Linked DNA regions of Coturnix japonica. The protein of the gene in region 1 interacts with the protein of each later gene in a biochemical or structural test. Links are inferred from orthologs where the notes say so. Each region holds a gene or a part of one and is shown on either strand. Other genes may lie near its edges.

What was found.
Region 2: the proteins of TLE4 (region 1) and PAX5 form a complex in vitro, tested with the Homo sapiens proteins (2 studies listed by BioGRID). The link is inferred for Coturnix japonica from reciprocal best matches to the Homo sapiens genes TLE4 and PAX5.

Annotation. Positions count from the first base shown.
Region 1 is NC_029547.1:34,838,382-34,842,202, forward strand, and holds part of TLE4 (transducin-like enhancer protein 4), read left to right. Parts: intron 1-595; coding exon 596-845; intron 846-1,944; coding exon 1,945-2,192; intron 2,193-3,125; coding exon 3,126-3,273; intron 3,274-3,821. UniProt on the Homo sapiens protein: Transcriptional corepressor that binds to a number of transcription factors. Inhibits the transcriptional activation mediated by PAX5, and by CTNNB1 and TCF family members in Wnt signaling.
Region 2 is NC_029547.1:66,885,186-66,889,006, reverse strand, and holds part of PAX5 (paired box protein Pax-5), read right to left. Parts: intron 1,960-3,821; coding exon 1,762-1,959; intron 1-1,761. UniProt on the Homo sapiens protein: Transcription factor that plays an essential role in commitment of lymphoid progenitors to the B-lymphocyte lineage. Fulfills a dual role by repressing B-lineage inappropriate genes and simultaneously activating B-lineage-specific genes.

The DNA.
Region 1 (3,821 bases):
AGGAAGAAAATCTCAGAGCATTTTAACTGGTCTGTCATGTCAGATGTCAGCAAGCGTACCTGGGGGCTTAACCCCTACCTGGTGGTGGTTTCACTGCTCTGGTAACACACTGCATGGGACCTGTGGTGTGTCTGAGGCAACTGGGCAGTGATCCAGCTAAAGTCCACGTTAGAGCTAGTGTGGGAGCAACAAAATGTCCTTTGGCACTCAGCTACTGCCAGGGCTCTAGTGCAACTGGCTAGCTATTTCTGTCTTCCAATGGGCCCTGACTTGACCTTCCTTCCCTTCTCTGCAGAGGCGGTGGTCTCCCCATGCATTGTTGTGTTAAGTATCTCACCAGAAACCAGCTCATTTGATTGATAGATCGTCCTTGTCTCATACATTAAGAGTACCAGTATATAAGCTTTAAGCATCTATATTAAGGTTTTCAAATAATTTCTTCTTTACATTATAGAAAAAAGGTTTTAAAAGGAGCTAAGTGAGCAGTTTGAATGCCCATAGTGGAGACAAATACATAATTATGTTTTCTAAAATAGGCTTGAAGAAAAACTTCATCAGTATTTGTCCTTTTACCTCTATGTTTCTCTCTTCTTAGGGCATACTCATTTCATGTAAGTGCAGATGGCCAAATGCAGCCTGTTCCTTTCCCTCCCGATGCCCTCATTGGTCCGGGAATCCCTCGCCATGCCCGTCAGATCAACACTCTGAACCATGGGGAAGTTGTGTGTGCAGTTACCATCAGCAACCCCACAAGACATGTGTACACGGGTGGCAAGGGGTGCGTCAAAGTCTGGGATATCAGCCACCCTGGCAACAAGAGCCCTGTCTCTCAGCTCGACTGCCTGGTAAGTGAATGGTAGCTTATGATGATAAGAAAAAGACAGCAGGTTGTGTCAAGATTGAAATTATACTGTTAAGGTAAAAAAAAAACATAACAAACAAACAAAAAACAGTGGCTATTTGAGTGCTATCATTGGTATCAAAGCTTGATATTTTATTTTTAATGTTGTTTCTTTTAGAATAAAGTTTGAAGTGTGTTCCTTGTAATACTTGTGTTGTTTTCCCCAAAGTGAATCAAAACATCTTTAATATCCTAAAATGGTATTGGTAGGGGAAAAGATCAAAGACAGTACAGCAGATATTGTTTATAAACTTTGACATTTGTTGGCAGTGTTAAAGCTTGATAGCCCATCATGCTAAAAATTCCTTTCTTGCAGCTGTATCCTCAGAGAATATTGAAGATAGTCATGTATTTTGCGTCTGTGTATGTGTGTGAATGCTTTGCCCTGTCTTAATGTGACAATTAAAAATATCCCAGAGTGTTATTCACAAATTATTTGAATGTGCTAACAAGATGAACCATTGTTAGCTGTATTTCTCATGTCATTTACCAGTTCTTGGTAAGATGTTGCATCTTGTTACAAAGGTAGTAAAATGAGAACAGTGCAGCACTTGTAGACATATAATGAATTGCTACACAAATCGCTACACAAATGAAGAAAATTGCCCAAATATTTTTCTCTGACATTTCCTAGATGGTGGCAGTAAGTCTCACTGGAGCAGAGCAGGGGGATGTGCAGGGAATTTGGTACTCTCCCATGCCGAGAGGTTAATGTGATGAAATAAACTGCATATGAAAATGTAACTTTCTACACAAGCTGTTGAATACAGCTGTCTTGAATTGTTTGGAATTGGGTTCAAGTCTTCACATTTTGATGCTAATTAAGATTAAATATCTCTCACTACTGAATTTTGTAGATCAAGTTTAAGTACTTCCCTAATGTCATGTAATTTTCTGGCATTAATATACTTTATCATTGTCATAACTATAAATGGCTCATTAAAACCAGGAGGGAATACAATACTTTTATGGATTTCTGCTCTCATGTTAATGCTGTTTTCCTTTCCTCATGAGTAATTTCTAGATGGCTTCTGTCTCCACAGAACAGAGATAACTACATCCGTTCCTGCAGATTGCTCCCTGACGGCCGCACCCTGATTGTTGGTGGAGAAGCCAGCACGTTATCCATTTGGGACCTGGCAGCTCCAACTCCACGCATTAAAGCAGAGCTGACATCTTCTGCTCCAGCTTGCTATGCCCTGGCTATCAGCCCTGATTCCAAGGTCTGCTTTTCCTGCTGTAGTGATGGGAATATTGCAGTGTGGGATCTGCATAACCAGACTTTGGTAAGGTAGGTCGACAGAACCAGATCACCGGGTTGTGAAGAATTAATTAGACATAGCCTTACATGCTCTTGTGCATACATGCACTCTTTTCTTCATGGTGTCAGCATAGCTGCTCTCGCTATTTCATTACTAGGCAATAACTATGGTAATACTTTGACTGAAGTCTATTTAATTGTTTGTGGGTTTTGAGAGTTTCATAATTCCAAGCCTGCCAAACTGCTCCATAACTGTTAATAGCTTGAGATAACTTGGTGCTGAAATTGCTGTAGGTTCTTGGAACAGAAGTATTCTGTGTTCACACTCCAATCTCTTTAATTAGTGTTGTAGCAAATACATCTGCAAATATGTTTCAGATACAAATATGTGTAAATCTCTGCATTGCACGCCTCAACTTCGTAGGAGTTGGGGTTGATGTTCACTGCTAATGAACAATAAGGTAGTTAGGAGCCACTTGTACAGACATTCTTCATACTCTGCACTGCGTACGTGTTGTTCTGAAATGTACTGTTTAAATATTGCACACAAAGGCCTGCCTGTTACCCTCTAATGCGCCCATTGGGACTGCTTTAAAAAAACAAAACAGCATCATTGTCCTTCATATTCTTCTTAATGCAGTCATGCAGCATTCTTTCAGGAGCATGTGGCATATCCCGTCAAAATGTGGGTGTTAAATAGTCAGCAGCAAGTGTCCTCAGAATATTTAATTCATGAAGAATGCTTCACAAAATCAAATTAACACTTGGCTGTATGGCATGATTAATTGCGCCATCAGTTCATCACAAAACTCAGATGGTCGTCCCAGGGCTGAGATTAATCTTAGATTTCCATGGCACTTTACCTTTAACGATAGTTTCAGAGAAATTAGTTGTTTTGAGTAAATAATCAGAACTGGTTATTTCTGGTATGAGAATGTGTGAATCTTCCTTTGATATTTTCAGACAATTTCAGGGTCACACAGACGGAGCCAGCTGCATTGACATTTCTAATGATGGCACCAAGCTTTGGACAGGAGGCTTGGACAATACGGTCAGATCCTGGGACCTCAGAGAAGGGAGACAGCTACAGCAACATGACTTCACATCACAGGTGCAATCTTCGCAGCTTCAGCATGTTCAGAAAAAATTTGTCATGGTTTTCTAAAACAAACCTTTTCTATAAAATGTTAATAATAATAATGGAGAAAAAAATGTATTCAAAAACACTACAAATAATCTTTCATTTAGACTTACGCTCTTTTTTTTTTTTTTTTTTTTTTTTTTAATGTGTGCCAGCTAAGCATCTTTCTGGATTATTTCTGTTTGACCGATTAGTACTTCTCCCATGAAAGCGGTGGAGAATCCTTTTTATAAAAGCATTGCCAGATTAAATTGTTTCTGAGTGCAATCTGCTCCCATTCCTGTTGATCCTTGTTACAAAAAATATTTTACAAAAATACTTTTAAATGCTGTCAGATAAGCTAGGACATTAAATTTTATAGCTTGATTCAGTGCTTTGCTATTGTGGTTTTAATTGAGCTTTGTTTACATGAACTAATTTATCTTGATTACTATAGTAATTGGATTATCATGTTTTTAAAACTGTAGCAGACTATGACGTATTTTTGCATAGTGTTAACAGTGTAGCAAGAAGTCAGT
Region 2 (3,821 bases), about 32 Mb from region 1:
CTGGTGCAGTGTCAGTGAGAGTGTGGACGTTGCCAACATAGAAACATTCAAGGACTACAGAAAATGGATCAAAATACAACTGGAACGTATGCAGTCCCACTGCATTCCCAAGCTACCACTGCTTTTTGGGTGGGTTGTTGGACAAAGCTTGAAGACTCGCTACATAAACAAAGTACTTCTCAGAGCAGCAGCCTTGTTTCTGACACAATGGGACCTGAGCTGACTTTTATGGAAACAAAGATTCATAGAACCACAGAACTACAGAATATGCTGTGTTGGAAGGCACCCACAAGGATCACTGAGCCCAGGTTTGCCCTTGGTTATCTCCAAACAGCCAGAGTGGGATTTTCCTTCCCATTTCATGGTGACCATACCATGCCTCAAATTGTTTTTTGAGCTGAAAATGCCACGTCCCTGGGTGTCCCGGTGAACAGCAGTGTGACCTGGTGGCCAAGAAGGCCGATGGGATCCTGGGGTGCATTAAAAAGAGCGTGGCCAGCAGGGGAAGGGGGTGATCCTCCTCCTCTTCTCTGCCCCGATCTGGCCTCACTTCGTGCACTGTATCCACTTCTGGGCTCCCTGGTACAAAACAGACAGGGATCTCCTGCAGAGAGTCCAGCCACCAAGATGATAAAGGGCCTGGAGCATCTCCCCTGTGATGCTTCTTTCTGCACTGCTGCTGGGGAAGCCACTCCTGCTGCTCAAGCAGGAACTCCATGAATGCAAAACAGGTCAGGATAGCCGACGAAAGAACACTGCATCAGTCTGTTTCGTGTCCATGGACACAGGTGGGACTTCAGAGCTAGCTGGACTCAAAGAATTTGCATGAAATCATGTAACTGAGAAATATCTCAGAAGAGCAATGAAGCCAAAACTTGGTAAGGAACATACTCCCAAGAGAAAATGAACAAACTCTGTTTGCTGGTGTATGGGGGGGGTTGCTGAAGTGCTCTCCATCCAAGTGTTAATCCCTTATCATCAGACCAGGAAGACTGGAGACAATACAGAGCATTTCTCTGTGCTTTTTCAATGTTAGCCTTAGACAGTTGTTGACTGAGATAGAAGCAGGTTAGCATAGCTTCAGGACCGCATGTGAGCACAGTGTTGCCTAGCCATGCCAGGAAAGAACTCACAAGCATGGGAAGAAGATGAGAAATGAGATTTTCCTGCGCTGACACAAAGGAATTCAAGGCCGCTCAAACAATTCCATTTAACACGTGGACACTATTAAACCACATTTCCCTGTTTGTATTCATGCTGACAGTGACAGCGGCCAGTGTGATTCAGAGCCAAGTTCAGCAGTAATGAGTAGGTGAAATAAAGACCTTGGGAGCCATGATTTGGGTCCACTTCTCTAGGAACATGGCTGCCAGACATGGCCTCCAGGTCACCGCCACCACCCAACGCAGCTGCAGCCTCAGCCTTCTCCGAGTGGAGGCATTTCCCATTGAGTGTGATCCAGCAAGTACAGCTCTTTCCCAGCAAGAATTGCAAATCACGGACGGGAGAATGGGAAAGTGCAGGAAAGAAGCAAAGGCCAATAGCACAACCTGCCTGCTCCTGGGAAACGCTGATGGTAGTGGCACTTTCACCACCGGAGCAACCCCACAGCTGCTCCAAAACCCAAAACATGGCGTTTAAACGCGCACAGAATGCATTTTGAATAGACAATACAACTCACCCTCGCTTCTACAAGCAAATGAGGATTCAGTGACCACATTTGCTGCAAAAGCCCCTTCCCGAGACCGTACAGATCTTTACCTGTTAATGGAACTGACGCTGGGCACGGTGTCATTATCACACACCCGCTCGGCGAGGAGTCTATCCCTGATCTCCCAGGCAAACATGGTGGGATTTTGGCGTTTGTACTCTGCGATTTTTTCGACAACTTTGGGTGTGGCGACCTTTGGTTTTGATCCTCCAATCACTCCAGGCTTAATGCTCCCGGTTTCATAATACCTGGGACAACATCCAAAGCAAATCTTCAGTTATCACAGGCAGGCAGAGGGCATGCTTCGAGATTCATAGAGAACATAATTTCAAGGTAACCAAACCCCAGCAAATCCTAAGATACATCTTCACTTTCACATACACACTTTCTGCCCATGTAGCGCTTTATCACCTAATAGATTAACTTATAGTAATTGGAACTGGGCCGTAGGATAGAACAGATATTTTTTCATAAGAGAAAGACAAAAGAAACAATGCAAGATTAAAGGGCATGCTGGCGTCCAAAATTAACTGAAAATGTGTGTAATTAATCAGAGGTTCTGGCAATAATAGAAACAAATCTCACTCAAGACCACTTTTTGCAGCAAATTCTCATATCTAAGGAAATGCTCTGCCATCAACACCTACAACTTGTTAGCATTTCATCGCAACGCAAGGGCGTGAAGTCATCTTTCATTTGCACATTAACAATTAATACGCTGGCATATCTTTTTCCCCGTTTTATTGTTTTAGAACGCATGCTACTGCTTTAATAGTTAATGTTTTTCATAATGGATATATTTTTAATATGATGCTTTCAATTGTGCAAATGAGAAATGTTAAGGGAAGGGGAGCTGTTGGTGTTCCCAGAGGGCTCGGCTTGTTTGGGGGTTTGTTTTTCTGACCAGCTCTGCAATCCTTCCTCACAGACACAATCTCTACTTGTGCAAGCAGTTCTGCCAATGTCATACAAGCAGAGCAGGTAGGATGGAGCGTAAGGATGGAGTCCTTACACTGACCAAAACGTGCCAGATGTATTTTTTTTTTATTAATATTTTTTTGCATGTAAATCACGCAGGCACAACTGCTTTTAGTAGGATTGCAGCAAAGCGTGGCGGTTGAGATCCTCAGCCCCACACATCTCACTCTTTCAATAGGGAAAGCCTTGAAAATGCTGTTAAAAATATCATGTCTCATCCACTGAGGAGCAGGAGGGAGACGATGAGCGAAATCACGCTGAGAACCCGTAGAGCACCGACACGCACCACGTTCTCGGGGCCGTGCACTTTTTGGCGTCCTGTGAATTTTGTTGATGAAGCACAAATCTGCAGCCACTGCAGCCATTGTCCAAACCTCCCCTTCCAAACAGGCCACGCTCAGCTCAGCTCTCATCCCGCGACCACAGAGCTGTGCTCCCTTACGGCCTTGACTCACCCACTGATCGCTGTGTGCCTGTACTTCTCGTAAGGGGAGCTCAAAAAAGACTCTCAGATAAGAACAACAGTTGTTTTGTTGTTTTCCTTTTAATCTGTGCGTTTTCTCTGCAGTTACTTGACATAACCATTATATCCAAAATAATGATGATAACAATAATAAATTCTGAAGTATTTCCAGCATGGCAGCCAAAGTCTGTCTGACTGTAACATGCAGCAGCGCTCATCAGATTTCTGCCAGGCTGCTGGCTCTGTCTTTCAGGGAGAGCTCTGTGTGCACAGTGCTGGCACTGCAGCGTTTGTGCATGTTTTCAGGCTTCCTGGGTGCAGATGCAGACTCGGTCTCAGCAGCCATTCAGGCAGCTTTAAGTGTCAAAGACACATAACCCTTGGGGCATTCCTAAACCCAGCCCAGCAAAAAGCATCAGTGCATCAGGAGTACAATGAAGCTGCCCTCCCTTATAGTTTCCAGAGGACCATGTAACGATGGTACACTTCAACAACAAACCTCCCTAAGCCTTGCATCCCTGGTTTCATCTCCTGTCCTGGAGGCACCTCTGTGCTAAGAAAGGACATGGAGAAAAGCTGCACAGTGCACACTGGTGGAGCAGAACGCTGTCATTTTCTCATTTCCAGCCATCACTGCAGATGTGACAAACACGTTTAGGTGTTTTCCTG